2 linked regions of the Cricetulus griseus genome follow. The protein of the gene in region 1 purifies or fractionates together with the protein of each later gene. This does not show direct contact. Links are inferred from orthologs where the notes say so. Each region holds a gene or a part of one and is shown on either strand. Other genes may lie near its edges.

Region 1 (10,560 bases):
AGGAAGAGTGAGCAATGGAAACAGAAAGAAGTGCAAAAAGAGTGCTTTGATCAGATGCAGGAGTCCAGGGTGCTGAGAGAGGAACATGAGCCTCAACAGTTGGCCCAGGTCCCCACAACTTTTTACATGCATAACCTTTTAAAAAAGATTTATTTTTTTATTATTTTTAATTGAGTGTGGGGGGAGGGGAGGTGAACTTGAATGCAGATGCTTACAGAATTCAGGAGAGGGCTTTGGATTCTCTGAAACTGGAGTGATAGGCAATTGTGAACTGCCTTAGATGAGTGGTTGGAATTGAACCTGGGTCTTTGCAGGAGCAAGAATTATTCTTAATTACTGAGCCAGCTCAAGCCCTGTCCCTGTATCTTTCTATTCTCCCCTTCCCACATACCCTGATGGTATTTTCCGGGAAAAACACTGAAAGAGGAAGCCTGCATCCATCTTCAGTCTTTTCTTCTAAGAACATATGACCCTGGTCCAAGAGGCTGATGACTAGACTGTTTCAGGGTTCAAGTCAGTATTTTAGAAAGGAATCAATTGCCAATAATATAAAATAATATCAGTTCTATGAAGGGACCAATTTGAAGACATGTGCACCAGGAAAATGATAAGAATTCCCTCTGGTACACTCATCCCTAAGTATCTTTCCTAAAATTCTTCTGAACTGATGAAAATTTTTGGCTTACAGAGTTTTCAGCTGTTTAAAGAGGGGCTGGGTTATGAAAGAGATGTAGGAAACTTGTAGTAGTGTTCTTAAACTAAAATTCCTCCTATAAGTGTGAATGTATTCACCCTCCTAAATATTTGCATCAAGGGAATGAGAGACCCTTTCCTGATTCTTTGCTCTTTAGGAATATGGGTCTGGAATGTAAGATTATCACTCTATGCCAATGTGTAATTTTGCCTGTCTTAGTCCATTTGAACTGCTACAACAAAATACTTAAATTGGCTTTTAGATAACAGAAATGTATCCTTCAAAGTCCTGGAGACTGAGTCCAAGGTGGAATGGTTGCCAAATTTAGTTGCTGGTTCCCAGATGCTGTCATGTTGCTGCATTCTCAGAGTATGTGAGAGAGAGGAGGAAACCTAGATTCTTTCTCTTAAAGGCAGCAATCCCATCCCGAGGCTCCCTCTTTGTGATCATACAACCCCCCCAAAGACACCCACCTACTCATGACATCTCATTGGGGATGAAGGTTTCAGCACATGAGTAAATCTCATGATAACAGATTGGCTCATTTTGATGTATAAGAGAAAACTGAGCCTCCTGGTCCCTGGCAGTTGGGGTTGTGGGAGGAACTATTGCCAGCAATCCCTGCAACTACCTGAGTAGCTGCTGTCATTTGCCACACACTCCACCCCTAGGGGGTTACAGAGCTCTAGCAGCCCCTGGCCATTTTGTGCAGTGATGAGGCAGTATAAGCATACTTTTCTGATGCCATGGCAAGTAGAAATTGAGCCATTCCTTTTTTTTGTCTTCCCTCTCCCTTCATCCATCCTTCTTTTTCTGTTTTGAAGTGTGACATCTCTTCTTTTTATCTCTGAGGTTTGAAATATCACCTTGATTCAGGAATTCCACACGTTAAGGTCTTTATTCCTGGGAACGGCACACTAAGGCTGGTAATAGGAAAGGATATAGCAATCCCTTGCTCAGTCAAGTTCAGGCTATACATGGGTGAGCTTCAATCCCCATCAACTAACAATAATAATGAAAGAGGAATGATTATGTAAGGCACAAGTGCAGCATGTCAACATGCTGTCTTCCTGGAGAATCAATCAGATTTAGCAGAGGCCAGGACAGGAGTTTCACTATTACAACTACAGAATATTTTTACACAGTGCATGCTGAACTTCACACTGACAATCTCAGGATCTTTTCTGGTTGTCTCTTACTTCCACTATGATTAATTTATCAGTTTACTTTTTTTTAAATCACCAAGACTAGTTTCTGCTCTAGAAAAAGTCATGATAGAAGCAAGTACTCTAGTGTCCTAATCAACTTGCTTAAGACTCCAGACCTGAATTGACGACATACTTTCTTTTCTGTCCTCTACAACCTTGCTCATCAAATTCTTCATAAACAGGGGTAAATGGACAATAGAAGTTGACAGTGCTCCCTAAAGATGTTTTCAAACAAAAAATAAAGGTTTCCAAAGGTAGAAGATGCTGTGATCTAAGAACACTCACGGGGAATGCCACGCATTAGCCAATCCTCCTTGTCCTGAGGAGATCCTCTAGAGAGGAGTGAGAGGCTATACAATAAAGCCTGTATCCTCACCGTGTGTGAGGAAATGCTCCTGTGTGCCCTCCTGCTTGGAAGTCCACCGTTTTTCTGGCCTTGGGAGTGGTGATCTAGATCAGCAGCACTGGCCCTAGGAAAGGGCAAACTGGAAAGGTTTTTGGTCACAGTCCAGGTGCTCTAAAGGGGTGATTTGGTCAAACCTAGCCTCATAGTTGCAGTGTCATACCTCCGGCCTTTTCTTTCTTGTTTATAATTCATGGTCAAGCACATGACCCTTCTTAGCTGAGTGTTATCAATCTCCTCATCTTACAGGTAAGTAGATGGGGGCAAAGTCACTTCCGATTCTCAGGTCTGTTGACTCCCAGTTCTGAGTTGTTGCCCCACCACAGCCATTAGACAATACCACTTCATTTCCCCAGCACACTGCGTCCTAGAAGGGCTGCACTGACTGCAGTGCGGTCTACATGGGTTGGGTAGTTGGGTCTGATGAAAAGTGGACGTGGCCTTCCCAAGAAGAGGAAATGAAGAAGAGCCCTGTGAAGGACAGCGCACTGGCCAGTGCTCAAGGCATGGCTACAACAAAGATGTGAGAAGAGCTAAGGTCTAGATGGGAAGGGAAGCCTTGGCAAAGAAAGGGACCCTGGAGGGAGAAGCTAGAGGGAAAAAGCAAATACACAGCTTGGGGGATAGCTGAGGTCAAAGGTCTGGAGGAGAAGGGATGCAATGTGGGCGCGGCAGAATGTGGCAGGATGATTTCAGCAAACGCCAGGTATGGCAGATCTAACAATGGGACTGGGAAAGGCCTTTGGGATTTAAGTTTGTCACAGTGAAGACCTTTGAAGAGTTAACATTTCTCCACCGTTGAGCACAAAAACACATGGTGCTTCATTTGCCTTTGCCAGCTAGATGTCTGTGTCTGCTTTTTCTCCCTCCCTCCTCGCTCAGCATTCCCAATGAGCAGAGGTAAAATGTGAGGAGCACAGGCTTCCTTCCATAGTGCCAAAACCTTCTTCTTCAGCTGTCTCGCCAGCTCTTTAAAGGCCCCCAGGACAGAACCCCCGAACAGCTCTAAGGGCGCTTGCACACCCATTTTCGGAGTTAAACTATGAATTGCTTTTGTCCCACAAGCTCCGGCCGAGCCCTAGAACGAATCTGGATCTCTCAATCCTGCAAGGCGGTCCCGCCCCTCAGCTTCACGTGGTTGATAGCGAGTCGCGTACAGCTGACGTCACTAGTATGCGCCCCCAGCGCCCCTTTCCACCCGGCGTGCGCGCCTAGGGTTTCTATCTTATCCTCTCTTCAGACCCCTGGGCTCCCGGTCAGAGGCGGCGCTCGGCAGATTTGCGACAATGTCGATGCTGGCGGAGCGTGAGTGTCGGCCGAGCTGGGCGACTGAGTGATGGGTTGACGGGCACTGGCCACCGAAGTACCCAGGGCGGGGGGGGGGGGGGAGTGTCCGAGCTCCGGGTGGGGACCGCAGTGACTGCCGGGCTGGCGCGGGACAGACAGCGATGTCCCCGGGACTCTGTTCCTGGTGCTAAAGGCTCGGGTCGCACGTTCACGTGTGCGTTCTGAGGTTCAGGACACCAAGTCTCAGACTTTCCCTTGCGCGGGCCATCGTGGCCACCTGGGAGGATTCTTTCACTTCTCCGGGCTCAAGTGTCCGGAGGTTGGTTCCAGAAAGGTGGGTCCCGCAGCATCGCTTCAGGCTCTGAAATTCAACTGGCCAAGTTGTGTTGGACCCGAAGAAGAAAAGCGGAAGCATTACAAGTGTCAGACACTGAGTAGTAGCCCATGGCGGGAGTGCAGGCTGCTGCTGAATGGTTCCAAGCGAGATTGAGAGGGTATCCGTGGTTTGAGGCGACGTTGCCTCTATGTCTTTGACACTTGAAGTCCACAAATTCCCCTCCTTAGAGGCTACTTTTACTTATAAATAATAAGTGTAGCTATGAATTCTTGCCACCAGTAGGCAGTCGTGTGATGTTAACTAAGAACCGGCTTTTAACTTTTCCTGGAAGTTGTGTGAAGCTATTAAGGAGCTTAAACAGATATTTTCTTTTTAAAAGATGATATTATGCATTTTAGAACAAGGCATGTTTTAGTGATTCTTATTCCCCATCTCCCACTACCCTACTGCCAACCCTGATCCCCGGTGCCAGTCTGGGTTCTCTGTTTGTAGTTTGCCCCCACTCTGTTTTCATGGAGCATACTGCACATCGGGCAGGCAGCTCAATAGTTGGAGTGGAGAGCGTCCTTTCTAGGTAGATCAGTTGATTCGACCCTCTTCCAGGCAATTCAGCTGGTCTCTACTAACATGAAGTTGGGGCTCGTTTCTGCCTCATCCAGGCTTAATAATCCTGGTGAGGTGATTGCATCAATACAGATTGGAGTGTCAGCAGTAGTATACAGGGGAGAACAACTGACCTGGCAACCAGTTCCTTATATAGCATGGCAATGCATCTTGGGTAAGTATGTGACAGGGATGCATTTCTGATGGGATGGGTAGGCTCCTTACAAGCCATGGTCAGCAACCCCGGCAGGCATTCTCTAGACGTTCATCAGAGGAGACACACATGCAGACCACCAGCTAATACGACTGTCTTTACTGTGTGCATTAGTGAGATAGTGTGCTGAGTATATACCAGGTTGTTGAGCCAGGTGAAACAAGTTTTTGGATCAGCTCCCCTCCACCCCCACCCCACGCAGGCATAACACTGCAAATTTGAATCCAACTCAGTTTGGTTTGTGGTGTTTTATTGTTTTTGTTCTTTTTGTTTGTTTGCTTCTGCCTGCATGCCTGTGAAGGGATTCTTGTTTTTGCTAGGGTACATATAGGTAAAGATCCCTATTGATTTTACATAAAAGACAGTGAGCCCTTTGACAAGGGGCTGTGTTATTTTTCAGTTGGGTTATGAGGCTGTTGATAGTGTGCTTACATGAGTGCAATGGGTGAGCAGTAATAACATTCGACCTCCAGATTCCTTACTTGGCCACAGTTGACTTTGGAAGTTTAGATTCTTGTTTTATTGACCTGGTGGGTTCTTTTCTGCCATAGTTTTCCCTCAAAATTGTAAGAGTGAAGCCAAATGTGGTGGCTCCTGCCTGTTTTCCCCAGCATTTGTAGAGCTAAGACTAGAGATTGCCACCAAATTCAAGGCCACCCTAGTCTACAGAGATAGACTGTCTCAGAGAAACAAACAAAACTATAGTGATGAACTTGTTCTTTTTTTTAGATTTATTTATTATATATATAGTGTTCTGCCTGCATGTATACCTGCAGGCCAGAAGAGGGCACCAGATCTCATTGTTGATGGTTGTGAGCCACCATGTGGTGCCTGGGAATTGAACTCAAGGACTGCTGGAAGTGCTTTTAACCTCTGAGCCATCTCTCCAGCCCGAACTTGAATTTTTAATTGTCAGTTATTTATATTAATTCCAGAGAAAAGTTTCCATGCAATTCAAAGCAGTTCCCTTATTTCAGCTATTCATTCCTTTCTTCCTTTTTTTTTCTTCCTTTCCTTTTTCTCCTTCTTTCTCATTCCTTCATATACTCATACATTTTTATCAGGTGCTAGCTATATGCAAAGTGCTTATTTTCCTTCTTGCAATGAAACATAAGAATGAAGAACTGAATATGATACTTCAGGGATATAGAGTAACAGGACACATGGAAGATGGGTATAAACACCACAGTGCAGTAGAATGTGAAGTGCCACTGATTATTCTGGAGGCTCAGTGAATACGCTGTGATTTTTATTAAGAAGGGAGGTATATTGGCTGTTAATCATAATGTACAATTAACTTTCCATAAGTTGTGTATTAAGAATATGATGAGTTGATCTGGGCATGGAAGGTGGAGGCAGGAGAATCAGGAGTTTAAGGTTATCCTTAGCTATATAGCAAATTTAAGGTTAGCTTAGCACCACATGAATCTCCATCTCACCCTTCCCTTTAATAACTTTTGAAATCCATGGAACCTTGATTTGTATAAAAGGTTTGGGTTTTACTTGGAGATGTTAGGCAGATATTATTCTCCTAGACTCGGGTCTTCTCATCTGAAAGATAGAAAGGTAAGAGTATCTGCCTTCATCGAGATACTGTGGAAATTGAATCTAATGTATGGGTAGCATTTAGCCTACAACATGAAGCAGTGAGCATCGAGGTGCCTGCACCTGCTGCTGTGGTTGCTGCAGCTGCCAGTGAGTATGAAGGTGGCTACAAGAGGGTCTTTGGTTGTTGCCAGTGACTGGATGTGGATGCTTTCTTTTCCTTTTTTTTCTTTCTGTTTTTGATTTTTTGAGACAAGGTTTCCCTGTGTAGCGTTGGAGCCTGTCTTGGAACTAGCTCTTGTAGACCAGACTGGTCTCCCAAGTGCTGGGATAAAAGGCATACGCCACCACCACCTAGCAATTTTGCTTTCTTTCTTAAAGGGAATATTTTGCTTTGAATTTTGCAAGATTAGTTTATATGCCAGGAGTGTATAATTACAGGGAAAACCAGGGGAATGATTCTATTATCCTCTTGGACACTGAATGTGTCCTGTTAACATGCAAGCATGTTCTGATTTGCATGTACTCAAGACTGGTTGCTGATGACATGCCTTTTCATTTACAGCTCGGCGGAAGCAGAAATGGACTGTGGATCCCAGAAACACTGCATGGAGCAATGATGATTCCAAGTTTGGCCAGAGGATGCTTGAGAAGATGGGGTGGTCTAAAGGAAAGGTATCGAATCAAACTCTAAAGTATTTGTGCCAAGCCTGTAGATCACAAATCAGAAGATAACCTTCTTAGAGTCTGGGAGAACTTTGTGCTTTAGGTCAGTAATTGATTTTGGAGAACTAAATTGTGGCCAGGTGGTAAAATTAGACTGGAACATGAATACCAGGTCTTCTGGTTCCTGCTGTAATATCTTTCTTAGATATTTTTCAATTCATTACACATGAATCATACTCCAGCTTCAGTTTTGTGTTTCTAAGAATGGTACTTAATTTTCCTTTGGAGTAGATGCATCCTGTCTTGAATCCCTTATGACCCACCCACTCCTCACTATAGTGAAGCTTTTAATGTGAAACTATATGTCCTATTTCTGTCAGGGTTGCAGGGCTCTTGCTGAATTTAGTGGGTGTAAGGTATCCTTCAATTGCCTCACCCTTAGCAGTGCTCCACAAGGTTGTTTTGTGGAACTTTGTTGTGGTAGCATTACTACCCTTTCTCTCGCCTTGTTCTTTATCACATCAGCTACCTCTAAATCATGGCCATCTTCTATCTCTAGACTCTTGAGCTGTGGAGCTGATTTGTATAGTCTGCTTGGGTGACCTCATTAATTACCTACCATGCATTGAATTGTGCCTCCTAGCTGTGATACTTAAGTGGCCACCTCAAAATTATTTTTTATTACAAATCTCTTGTCCCCTAAAATCTTCTCTTTTCCATGTTTCCCTGGCTTTCAAAGATGGTGCTAACTACCCAAGCATTCAAGCAATGCCACTTCCCATTTCCCTTCTGTCCTTTCACCATACCACAACCAGAAGAGCCTTTCAAACTGAACTTTAGATCATGTTGCTCCCTTGCTGAAGATATTTCCGAGGACTAAAATCTACATCTTGCTCCAACTTTCAAGGTCCTGTGATATTCCATCTCTGTTTTTATATTCTTTCCCCATTCACCTAGCTGAAGCCTTCCTGGAGGCCTTCCATGTCCTGTAGTCCATAAAGGTCTGTTTCACTTACAGTCTCTGTACTTGCTATTCCTATGACCTACAACCTTAGGAATGAGAGCAAGGTGAAACCAGGGTCATGGAGTGCTCCTCCACTTTCTTTCTTGATGTCATGTTGTAGTATCAAGTAACAGAGAATGTGATGTGCTCCACATGCTCCCGTAGGCTTCTGCCACTTGCTGTAACAGTGCCCTACTCCAGAACATACACAAGATATGCACTTTACACAATGTCTTCATGGACCCTGTATTAGTTCTTGGGTTCAAGAGGCAGCATTCACAATTAAGAATGCATCCTTGGTGCTGCAGACATTATCTTCCAGAACCTTCTGGGCCAATGGTTCTCAACCTTTTTAATGCTGTGACCCTAATATACAGTTCCCCCTTTTGTGATGACCCCCATCATAAAATTATCTCATTGCTACTTCGTGATTAACTTTGCTACTGTTATGAATCGTAATGTAAATATCTGATATACAGGATATCTGATATCTGACCCCAGTGAAGGGGTTGTTCCACCCTCAAAGGGATTGTGACCCACAGGTTGAGAACCATTGTTCTGGGCTGTGTCTTTTTTGAATAGAAAGAAAGCAACAATTTCTCTTTGTAGTTGATGGGGTTATATTTAATCTCTTTCTGTTTAATATCCACAGGGTTTGGGAGCTCAGGAGCAAGGAGCCACAGAACACATTAAAGTTAAAGTTAAAAATAACAATCTGGGACTTGGAGCTACAAACAATAATGAAGTGAGTGACTTCTGATGTTTTCTTTGCAGAGTTGAGTTGTATCAGCATAAATTGACATTTGTGCAAGTAGATGGAATGGTTTTAATTAAAAGTATGGTACCTACTTTGAGTGAAGAAAGACATAAGAGCACTTGGTTTAGCTTTCCTCATCCTGTGACTTGCATACACCACCGTTGCCTTGTCCTCCTGGATCCTTTACTTAGTTATGGCCTAGCAAGGCACTCCTGTTTTATAGCTGAACTTTGTAAAAAGTTTTTTCAAAGAAATGTTCCTTTCAGAACAGAGCCTATTTTTATCTTTACCTGTGTCCTAATACTAGTTTGTCTTATTAATGCAGGTAGCTTTGAGAGTGGGAAGTGATGGAGGAAAGCTGGCTTGTTTCTGACTGTTGGTGTTCCTCAGTCACGTGTCCTGTTGAACACAGACTCTGCACTTGCAAGTCAGCAGCTGCCAGACTTTTCAGGTTTAGTACCCACTGCTCCTTTTCATTCAGAGTCAGACCTGGGAGCTTTGTCCTGACCTCTTGTAGCAAACAGAATCCAGTAAAAACAAACAAACAAACTGGGAGAATGACTTTATGGAAACAGAATTGCTTAGAGTAATTTGGTGTCTCTGACTAAAATAGTCAAAATTTTTTTGAGTAACAGCTAAAATTTTAGCCACCAAAGAAAGAGTCTCTATAAGGTTAATGGTAATGCTGCTTTGAGAAACACAAAACATTCTATACTTACATTCTTAGGAGAAGCATTGCGTTCTGTAAACCTATTTGTACACCTTATCTTTTAGGCTTTCTTAATAAATGCTTATGTAAAGTTATATGCAGAAACCTTGATGTCCACTGGCTTGTATTATTTAGAGGTCATTATTAGTGAACACCTTGCAAGTAGGAACTCATTGATTCAGAGACTTGGGGTGGCCTTCCATAGAGTTCTGTAAAGTTGCTGCTGACGCAAGTAGTTAGAATTTAGCAGAATAGTCCAAGTTCTGTTGAGCAATGAGGAGAGCTATGCTCTCACTGCCCTTGTCTTTATCATGCCCATGGTATATGTCATCCCCCAGGTTTATTTATTTTATTTTATGTGTATGGGTATTTTACCTGTACATATGTGTCTGTACCACATGCTCACAGTACCCATAGGTGTCAGAAGAAGGCATGGGATCATCTGGAACTGGAGTTACAGACAGATGTGAGCTGCTATATGGGTGCTGGAAATTGAAACTGTGTCCTCTGCAAGAGCAGCCAGTGCTCTTATCTGCTGAGTCATATCTCCAGTCCCCAATAGTCTCTCTGTGTGAGAAAATACTAATTTTATATTGCGTTAGTGTAGTATTTAGCACACACATTGCCTTTGTTTTTGTTCTGACTTAACTGTGGATGAGCCATAAACTTTTGAAATACAGGTTTGAGCTTCCAAGCAGGTTCCTCTAAATATAATTATATTTTGTTGACTTTGTGCTGCTGGGGACCAAACCTGGGACTCTACATGCTAGACAAGGATTCTGCTATTGACCTTTTCCCTAGACACTCCAGCTTTTATATGGCTCTGCTTAAATCTTATTTCAAGTTTATACTATTTCTTTAATCCAGTTAAATTTATTAAATAATATTGCTTGATGTTAGTTGTAGGTGCCACAGTAGAGAGAGAGTAATATTTTAATAAACATGTATAATTTTATATTAATGGCCAGGTTTTTGTTATATGTCTATGTCAGCAGTACAGTAAGTTTTGGGCTTGCCTCTCATACTTTTTGGTGCTTCCAGGACAACTGGATTGCTCACCAAGATGACTTCAACCAGCTTTTGGCAGCACTCAACACTTGCCACAGTCAGGAAACAGCAGGTAAGGACATTAAC
Region 2 (10,617 bases), on another chromosome or scaffold:
GAACCTCAGCCACTCAGCGCCTCCGCCAGCTCTTGGGGTGGAATCTTGTGGTTTCCCACTGAGGAGGCTCCTCATATTGTACTTCCTTCAGGACATAAGGTAGAACCCATCTGACCCATGTACCAAACAAGCAGCTACTCTACTCCTGTTTGGTGCGAATTCCTCCTACGTTATTGAGCCTATAGATGGTGTAGGCCCAACTTAAGATTTTACAGGTCAGAAAGCAGGATCTCCAGTCCATGACTACATGGAGTCTATGTCCTGAAGGCCCATGGACAGGCTAGCAGGTGCCAAGCACTGTTGAAGTCAGTATACGTAAACAGCAAGCACCGACAACAGAGATGTGTGGTACCTGACTCCAATGTTCTGCAGTCTTCTCCATACCCTCTTGCGGTAGAAGAAGAGCCGGTTCTTCTGGAATGTGGTCTCTGTGACGTAAAAGAATGACCTAAGCAGCTCTACCACGTATGTGTCCATCAGCCAGAACAGGAACATAGCCAGGATCCTTTCCCTCGTACGGTGCTCTTCGGCTGGGACACAGTTGTTTCCTGAAAGCAGTAGATACTCAACACCCGTGACTCACCCCACACCCATGATGTCCAGCATGGAAGCCATGGGACCCCAAAATGAGCCCACGAGGTGTTACTCTGGACATGGTGGGTTCTAATAGAATGCATCAATAAACTAACTTAACCTTTGTGTGTGCGCGGGATGGAGGGTGGGGGGGGGGGTGGGGGATGGGGTGGGGTGGGGGGGTACGGGACTTATTTTTGGTAGGTCATAAACTAAAGTTCTCTGACAAAGCCATGTCAGTAATGGGATCCTGCAGGCCTAGTGACTAGAGATAGAACGCTGCAGACTGAGAGTGAGATGCTCTTGAGCATCTCTGACTTGCATTCTCTTGAGCCATCTCTCACTCCCATTCACTTCCAAGCTCTGAATCTGACCTAGCACCTTGTGACTCACTATCCAGTGAATCTTTTGGGATGGACTGACTCAGCAGACCCTGACCTCTACCAACTGCTAAAGCTAAGAATGTCTTCAGGTAGGGGCCAGAGGCATGGCTTAGCTGGTAAAGTGTTTGCGCTAGAGGCATGAAAACCAAGTTCATCAGAACCCACTTAGAAAAGCTAGGTATGGCCTGTGCCTGTAATCCCAGTGCTAGGGAGGCAAAGACAGATGGATCCTATCTGAATCATCAATTCCAGGCGATTAAAGAAAATACCTGATGTCAACCTCGGGCCTCCACACACATGCACAGGCAAACCTCAATGGGTGCTGGGCCTGTACTATTGGGTCACAGACTACACGCTCACTGCCACTGAGCAGAGTGTGGTTCAGAGATGTGTAGGGACAAGCAGAGGACAGGTTGTTTTCACTGTCATACTGGACCTAAGGGGTCAGTGCACCACAGGCCATGATAGCTGTCCTTCCCGAAGGCCTCTGGAGATCACTCTGTATATCATCTCCAGATACCGTGGGAGCCCGCTTTACCAGGATAAAGCTGCGTTTACCAAGCAGTGATAAACATGAAGGAAACTTGTGAAGGAGAATGGAGAATCCCAGAAGGAGGCACAAGATAGAAAGCAGAATGAACAAAGAAAGAAGGAATCGGGGGCGGGAGAGATATCTCCGTGGTCAAGAGCATGCTGTTTCTCAGCATCCGCATGGTAGCTCACAACCTCCTGTAAACTCCAGTTCCAGGGAATCTAACACCCTCATCTGGTCTGCTCCAACCACCAGGCATGGCATAGTACATATACATACACACTCAGGCAAAACACTCTCACACACAAAATAATCATTAAAAATAAGTAAATAAGTGGAGAAAATGTGGAAGGATAAGACTAAATAAAACAGTGACCTTAAGAAACAAGCATGATGTTTAACTTGGGAGTAGAGAGACTGAAGGCAGAATGAAATCAGCAGAGAGATAAGGAAGGTAGTGGAGATGCTGACCCAAGTTCAAGTACCTTTAGGTTCAAATGTCAGGTGACTGCTGGCAAAGAACAGTGCACATGACTTCCTATCGCTCAAAGGTAAAAACAGAATGAAAACAGGTGCAGCAAGGAAATGCACTTTACAATTGCTCAGACAGCAAGACTTTGGGGGTGGGGGGTGGGGTGCAGCAAGAATTAAGACCAGCTGGCTGAAGAAATGGCTCAGCTGTTAAGGCTCTGGCTGCTTTTTCAGAGAACTGGGATTTGAGTCCCATCATCCACGCGGTGACTCTCAACCATCTGAAACTCCAGTTCGAGGTGATCCCACCCTCTTCTCCTGGCTTCTGTAGGTACTCGGCATTCAAGTGGTACACAGACATACAAGCAAAACACCCATGAGAATAAAAAATTTAAAACCAATGAAAGCAAACTGGAAATAATTCACTTACATGCTGTGAAAAAGATCTATCTGATCTATAAGAATGTGAAAAGTTTAAAAGCAAAACTTAAGGGGAGGAAAAAGACATAGCAGGGAAACACCAAAAGCAAGCCCAGGTCAGCCAGTTTGACAAACTCAGCTACTGGGCGTGTATTACACACTTGCTACCCCACTTCTCCAGAAGCTGAGGCAGGAAACAGGGTCACAAATTTGAGAGCAGCCTGAGCAATGTTGCAAAAACCTGTCTCAAAGGGAAAAAAAAAAGCTTTACATTTAAAAAATCACTACAGGCTGGTTGGTGGTTGCACACGCCTTTAATCCCAGCACTCAGGAGGCAGAGGCAGGCAGATCTCCAGCCTGGTCTACAAAGCAAGTTCCAGGACAGGCTCCAAAGCTACACAGAGAAACCCTATCTTAAACCACCCCCTTCCAAAAAAAAAAAAAAAAAATCACTACAGACATAATATCCTGATTCTCTAATCAGAAAGATAAAAATTCAGGCTAGGTGTGGTGGCACAGGCCTTTAATCTCAGCACTCAGGAGGCAGGGATAGGCAGATCTCTGAGTTCAAGGTCATAAACAAGTTACAGGCCAGCTGGAACTAGATAGTAAGACCTTGACTCAAACAAATAAATAAAAGCTTGTAACTAGTACATACACTTAACAACACTGCCTATAAATACCACCAGAACAAGAAGAAATAACTCTAGTTGTCCAGTCATAGACAGAGGTATCCATCCTTCCTTTTTCACGGCCTGGAAAGGATGTGGACATTTCTTGTATAAACCTGACACAGTGAACACAAAAGCCTCAGCACTCAGAAATGCAAGGAACTTGGGAAAACTAACTAAGCAGAAGTGCAAGTTTCCAGCGCCTTCAGTTAACTAGTATTATAAGGACTATACTACACAAGAGCTCAAAATCAATTTAAAAGGGAAATCAAAAAAAAAATTCACATTTGGAATTTAAAAATTCCTAGGTAATAAATACATCAAAACAAAAAACAATGGAAGATCGAAAATGCCCCAAACCACTGATATCAAAATTATCATATATGTAAGCAGTAGGTGCAGCTAAGGCACTATCCAAAAGGAAATGTGTAGCCAAATACCCAACCTATGATGATAGAAAGCGACAGCAAAAAAACTGAAGAGGTGTGAATGAAATTAAAAGAGAACATTCCACACAGAAACTGAAAGTCAAAGGGTTCTTGGAGTAGGAGAGACATGTCCAAACAAATCTGGAAGAGCAATCATAAAGTTGGGAGCTGGGCAGAGTCACAGTAGCTTATGTCCAGAAGGAGAGCAGCCATCTGTCTTAGGAGACGGGATGTACGAGGGGCTCCAGTATTTCTCTAGTGACATCTCTGTAACCCTGGGCAAGATACTGACAGCTGTGGCTAAGGGAGCTCTGGGGCTGCAAAGGGATGAGATGACAATGCATGGGCAGGTGGGATGACTTACAAGGGCCACAGAGGCTCTCTGCTGCAGCTGGGAGAACCAGGTGTGTGTATTGATATAGGCTCACTCTGGAGCTCCCAGAGATCACCCACGGTGGGTAAACATGGCTCTGCCATCTTTTCCCCTTAAGTTGTAAATATCCTAGGAGTTTGGGAGAGGACAGAGCAGCAGCATAGGGAGTGTGGTTCCTTTCATAGACGCACAGATTGGTGACAGGAGGGCTTGCTGAAAGGAAGAGGACCAACCTTAACATTAAACCAGGACAGGGAGGGCACAGGAGTCCTGGCTCTACAACCGCCCAAGTAACACTGTCCCCCTTCCTGCAGCAGGCTCGGTTCTCCTTTCTGGGGTCCATTTGCAAAACTAAGATGGGACAGGGATCTTCACTGTAGGAAAGTCTTTCGTTATTTCTCCTCTCTCCACCTAAACCTTTCGTGGACTGAGCAGCTGCACCACTACAGCTCACGCATAGGTCTTTGCACTGGGAGAAACAGAACCCTTAAACCACAGGGGCCTTAGCATCGAGGCACTGTTCCACAAGGGGATCAAGAATAGCCTGTAGCAGCTCTCACTGGAGCTTCTTCTCACCGAGTGCCAGTATTTCTACCCACACTATGCACTCCACCTGCTGTTCACCAGTGTCCCTGGCCCTGAGAACCTGCCCCAGGGCTTGGACAAGAATCTTGGTTAGCACAAACTGGGCGGGAGGGAGCTTGGAGTCAGAGATCATCAGATGGGACTTGCCCAACCACTGACTGCATAAAGACACTGCACTAAGGCCTTGGGCTCCTGCCACTCATTGTCTCCCTTTTTTGGACCCTTACTGCATTCAGCTGGAGACCAGCCCTGCTCACCTGGGCTGCTGCGAAGCCAGGGGCAGTCTTCTACTTTCATCCTCCACATCAGCTCTTGCAGAGAGAGCTTGCCATACTTCCCCAAGGAGATGAATTGCTTCACATTCTTAAAGAAGCGCCGCTGGTTGTGCCTGGAACCCCAGAGACCTGGAGGCACCAGCTTTCGGATACAGGCCCGTAGAAAGCCATATACCTGCCAGGGACTGCTGTGTAGGCGGAGCAAATTCATGAGGTGCGGCTGGCTGGTGGTGTTCAAGGCATCGGCCACCTGGTGGGTTGCTGTAGGAAACCTGCAATGTGACCTGAGGAGTCTGACATACGGGCACCGCGCATGGTTTACAAGCAGCTGCTGGAATAGGGGCCGCATCTGCCAGTAGCGCCTCGATAGGCGGCGTGTCCCACAGAGTGGTCCTGATGTCCTAGGCCTAATGCCTAGAAAGATTATCTCCACCAGTCTCCTGGCCCCAGTCAAGCTGGGCTGGAGGTTGTTGAGTAGGAACGAGGGGTTCAGCCTCTCTCGGCCACCTCCCCTAGAGTACAGGAAGTGTTTGGTCTCAGTATATGGTCTGAGCCGAAAGGCATCTTGGCACAGTGGTGACTGCAGGAATGTGGAACTGAGCTTGTGTTTACAGCACGCTGACCCGGGGCGACTCAGGCCAAGTGCCTTCCCTCCGGAAGACAAATCTTCCTTGGTAGTTCTACTAATAGGTACTGCAGGGGACTCAGCAGGATTTGGCACCCTTGTTTTGTCTGATGGGGTTGGAACCGCCTGCCTGTCGGGTTCCTTCTCCAGTCTCTGGGCCAGATCGCACCTGGCCTTCTTGGATGAAGGCACACTTCTATTGGTGATGCTTAGACTCCGCTTTGTGCCTCGAGATGGCAAGGGCAAGAGTTTACATGCTTCCTGGTGATTGCTGTTCCTGACCGAGTGTGTGGATCCAAGATGAGTAAAATTTCTGCCCACGGATCGTGTGGGCCTGTAACTGGGGGGCACAGAGGGACAAGTATCCGCGGTGGCACAGATTTGGTACAGGGGTGGGCCGCACACCTGGTAGGCACAGCTCGGGGGCACTAGCAGGTAAAGCGCGCAGCGGGCCAGCAGGTAGACCAGCAAGTCGTCGCCCACTCGGTTCAGCAGAAGCATCCATGCACCACTGACGCGCAGAGACTCAGTCACCGAGTTGGGCAAATAGCTGCGCACGTTGGTTGTGAAGGTCATGGGTGGCCCGCCTTGGGCTCCGTTAAGAAGCGCAAAGCCAAAAGCCAGCACGTTCCTCTCTCCGCGCTCGCAGAGTCTCTGCACGACCCTGGCCACCAGCTCCTTCAGTGATGACACCTGGTAAGGAGAAGAGGGTTTTGAGCTAGACGCGCTGTCCCGCGTCCTCCCGGCTCTCCGCCCCCGACCCACAGGGATCCAACCCGGAGGCCCACCTGGTGGAACGAAAGGTCAGCAGGTGGAGGTTGCGAGCCCCAGGGCACACACACTAGGCACTGGGCCACCAACGTGCGGAAGACTTTTGGGTCTCCGGGTTGTACAAGTCGCCTGCCCTCAGGTCCCAGGCGCCGCACCAAGGTTGCCAGCGGCCACACCTCGCGGTATCGACTGCGCAGCAGAGCGCGCACGGCCCGGCAACGGGGCGAGCGAGGCATCGCGCTCAAGGTCCGGCCGGGCCTCCCACGTGCGGGAACTTCGATGTAGGGCTGGGGTTAGAAAAGCATCAAGACCCCGGACATTGCGAGCCGGCGGCGGGAAAAGGCGGGGTCGGGACGGAGGAAGGGGCGGGATCGAAGCGGACCAAGCGTTGTAGCGGAAGAGGCGGGGTTGCACCAATGGCGCCTTTCTGTCGGTGGTCCCAAGGTTCAGTGGTTGCGGGAAATGTAAAAATAACAGAGGGAGGTGTGGTCACAAAGGGTTTCCCTCCACAGAGAGTTTGTTGGCTCCCTTGCGCTCGGAGCTGGGGACCCCAGGTGGTGTAGACTGGGGCAGGGTCGCAAGCAAAGACACCTGTTATTGATTTATTGAAGGTTCTGTAGGCAGAGGGATCTAAGGTCCATCCTGCTCCAGAGCCGGCTGCTGCCTCCTGTGAGTTCGGTGCAGACAGTGGGTGGTGGCAGTCCCAGTTCTTTCCAGTAAGGCTTCATAATTAGGGCTGGAACTCTACTGTACAGGTTCTTAAAGCTTTATTGTGGCCCCACCATAAGCTCAGCTCCCCAAAAGGTTTCCTTAACATCTGCCACCAAAGGACGGGGACCAGGTGAAGCTGTGCGTCCGCTTTTCTTACTGTCACAGCAGCCTTCACCCCAGGGTCCAGAGCTATTGGTCATCTCCCACTCAGGCACGGTGGCTAGACCAGAGTCACTGACCAAGGGCACTGAGTGTGCACACAGCCAAAGCAGAGACCTCGACCTCAGGATAGCAGCCCCTCTAACTCGAGGCTGGTAGCTTTAACAGTACTTGAGAGTGGGACAGTGTGGGGTGGGGGGGGGGGCACAGGGCACTGGCGCTAGGGGTCGGGGACATCAATAGTGACACTACCTAGAGCCACAGCTAGGGCCTTGTGAAGTTTGAAGCGCTGGGAAATACAGAATCTGTGCTGAATTTGGCAAACACTGAAATGCTAACAAATGTAACCTTTGGTGCCTTCAGCTTTCTGAGGAAATTGCTTCTATCCACCGACCTAGCATTTGAACAGACCTGGAGCCCTCCCGACAGGCGCTTTTTCATGTTTACTCCCTTGTAGGAGGTCAGCCGCCTTCTAAATGCTTGGGATTACAGTTGCTATTTTAGAAGTCCATTTAGTGGGTGTCAGCCTCTTTTAGGGGTGTTTTTGAGGTTTGCTGAGTACTGCTACTTTGGAGATTTGGGACTGAACTGAGGAATTTGTGCCAACAACCAAGTGTCCTTAGTGTGGTTTCCCAAAGAAACCAGCATTGAAAAAACAGTTTTAAAAATTAGAATATAGCTGGGCATGGTGGTGCATCATTGTAATCCTAGCTCTTGGGAGATGGAGGCAGGATGATGAGGGGCCATTCAAAACCAGGCCAGCTACGCAGTGAGTTTAAGGTCAGCTTGTGCCAAGTTAAGACTCTGCCTCAAAAGACAAAGAGGAGAAAGGGAGTGGGTGGCATGTGCTGACTATACATGAGACCCTGGGTTCAAGGCCAGAGTCAATAAATAAAAAAGACTAGAAGAAACCAAAGCAGAAAACATGTGTAGAAGCTGTCCATGAGCTATGATGGAACCAGTGAACACACACACACACACACACACACACACACACACACACACACACACAGGGGAGGGATGTGTGTGCTGGCTAGTAACAGTGTGGCTTAGAAAGCTGTTCTTACAGACACTAGACCAGGCAGAGGCTGCCCACCAGGAGCTATGCCAGAGACAGCAGGTGGTAGCTTAGAAACTCCGAGGAAAGGGGGTAGAGGACTCCTAGTGTCCCTACCCATACAGGGAGACATGTCTGTAGGAAATCCCTGGGGACCTGTAATGCTCTGGCAGCAAGTGACTCCAACTGGATTCTCCCCACCCAGAATCTGGGCAAAGCACTGGATGTGATACTGTTCCGGTGTAGCTTGTCATGTGCAGAGATCACTGGAACACCGATTTACTTCTTAGTGGTCAAGATGGGGATATCAGAACAGAATATTTCATTTACATAGCTAGTCATAGACCCGTCAATTTCATACCCATCATTTATTTTATCAACGTCAAACAGCTCAGGAAGTATGAGAATGAATGCCACCAGAGGCTGGTGACTCCCTGACTTCACAGATGGCACCTCAAGAGAGTATGTCCTGGTTCTGGGCTTGAAAGTACGGGCACTGACCAACTTGGCCTCTTCTTGGGATAGGTCACCTTGTGCTGTTTTCTGAGAGCCACTCCCTCACTACTGCCACCTTAAGCCATGCTGACACCACCTCTTTTCTGTTTGCTTCGTCTTGCACATCAAATTGCCTATGAAAACCAATAAAAAGTGCTTAGGGCACAAAAATCTCTTTGAATGTCGTTATTTAATCCTCATGGCTTGGCAAACAGAGCTCAATTCCTTTTTTACATCTTTGGATTTTCGAGACCTTGGAGGTTATTTGATGAAATTTAAGAAAACAGTAAGATAAACTCATCCACTTGGACTTGGAAAAGGTTGTATTTGCTTATAGAATTAAGTTTAATTTCGCCCCTTGGAAGCACATGGCTGGCTAGCCTATGTGGTCCTTTCTCAGAGAATGGGGTGTCTGTGAAGCCCTTCAGAAGAGAGGTTTCTTCCAGGCTGGGCAAATCATCAGATCCAATGGGAGCTGTTTGCAATCATGAATGGCAAGGGAGAGGAAGAGAGAGGTGAATGATTAAGCCACTGACTTCTGACTTGAGAAAACAAGTGTTCAGGTGTTGAGGATTTAAAGAAGGTGCTTAACCCCTTCTTTAAAGAGGCAACCCTGCCACTGCTCAAGAGCTGAGGAAAGCCTAAGCCACCATGAGATGACTTGAGTCCTTCTGCATGCTGCATCTAGCCACTGCCACCGCGTCTTCCGTTACTGCAATAGGTTCTTAATGCCACTTTAAGAACAGCTGGAAAGATCTTTGAAAGATACTCGGGAGTACTTACCATCCTGCTCAATACACCCATCACAGGCTTCTCATCACCTCCCAGTCTTTTACTCTGGGTTTCTGATCCTCACACTATGGCTTCTGCCTCACCACAGTGTGTGTGTGTGTGTGTGTGTGTGTGTGTGTGTGTGTGTGTGTGTGTGTGTGTGTGTGTGTGTGTGTGTGTGTGTGTACATGATTCTGAAAACAATGCTGGTCCCTGCCAAGTCCTCAAGTCCTTCCTGAAATATAACAACAAACATTTCACATTTTAGGTCTTAGGATTCATACAATTCAACAAAATACAAACATAGAAGCAACAAACAAACAAACAAAGCCTCCTTCAAACACACAGCACTCAGGAGGCTCAAACAGGATTGACATGAGTTCAAAGTGATCCTGAGCTACCAAGTAGAACTCAGTTAAAAAAACAAAAAAAAAATTTTAAAGTCCAAGCACAGAAAGCACAAGAATGAGGGTAAGAACAAACAAACAAACAAACAAGCAATGCACCCGCAACAACCCCCACGGTATTGTTAGATGTAAAAATCCCATTTACTGAAATTGATTCATAATATGACATAAGTTTATATTTAGAATACAAAATCAGGAAGGTGGGATACAACTTAAGAGCAGGTCAGAAGAGAAGCAAATAGAGCTTCTAGAGATAAAATGAACATGTAAGTCAAACGAACAAAAATTTAAATAAATGAACCAGGTATCAAGTAAAGTTATCTTTTTGTTTTTGTTTTTCAAGACACAGTTTCTCTGTGTAGCAGCTCTGGCTGTCTTGGAACTTGCTTTGTAGACCAGGCTGGCCTCAAACTCACTGAGATAGGCCTGACTCTGCCTTCTGAGTGCTGGGATTAAAGATGTGTGCCACCATCATGCTCGGCCAAGTAATCTTAAAAGAAAACAGGTAATATGCTGGGCGTTGGTGGCACATGCCTTTAATCCCAGCACTCAGGAAGCACAGCTGGGCGGATCTTTGTGAGTTTGAGGCCCGCCTGGTCTCCAGAGCGAGGGCCAGGATAGGCTCCAAAGCTACACAGAGAAACCCTGTCTCGAAAACAAAAACAAAACAAAACAAAACAAACAAACAAAAAAAAAACAGGTAAAATGGAAGTAAATGAAAAGGTAAGGTCATTCAGGAAAGCACTGATGTGGAAAACAGGCTACAATTTTTTCTCATTATTGAAGAAAGGCATGTATGTATGCATTATTAACATATTACTAACCAGAAGAAGCAAAAAGAACTACACAGTGAAAAAGGGAAATCCTGACCTCAGACAAGAAGAAAGACTTCTCACCAAGGAAATCCCCC

Evidence for each region.
Region 2: the proteins of Pinx1 (region 1) and Tert purify together in Homo sapiens (co-immunoprecipitation; 3 studies listed by BioGRID and IntAct, with this or other methods). This does not show direct contact. The link is inferred for Cricetulus griseus from reciprocal best matches to the Homo sapiens genes PINX1 and TERT.

Annotation. Positions count from the first base shown.
Region 1 is NW_023276807.1:218,886,729-218,897,288, forward strand, and holds the start of Pinx1 (PIN2/TERF1-interacting telomerase inhibitor 1), read left to right. Parts: upstream 1-3,470; 5' UTR 3,471-3,591; coding exon 3,592-3,610; intron 3,611-3,781; exon of another isoform or gene 3,782-3,926; intron 3,927-6,856; coding exon 6,857-6,966; intron 6,967-8,612; coding exon 8,613-8,705; intron 8,706-10,467; coding exon 10,468-10,546; intron 10,547-10,560. UniProt on the Homo sapiens protein: Microtubule-binding protein essential for faithful chromosome segregation. Mediates TRF1 and TERT accumulation in nucleolus and enhances TRF1 binding to telomeres. Inhibits telomerase activity. May inhibit cell proliferation and act as tumor suppressor.
Region 2 is NC_048595.1:368,297,189-368,307,805, reverse strand, and holds the start of Tert (telomerase reverse transcriptase), read right to left. Parts: upstream 6,729-10,617; 5' UTR 6,344-6,728; coding exon 6,125-6,343; intron 6,030-6,124; coding exon 4,694-6,029; intron 549-4,693; coding exon 353-548; intron 1-352. UniProt on the Homo sapiens protein: Telomerase is a ribonucleoprotein enzyme essential for the replication of chromosome termini in most eukaryotes. Active in progenitor and cancer cells. Inactive, or very low activity, in normal somatic cells.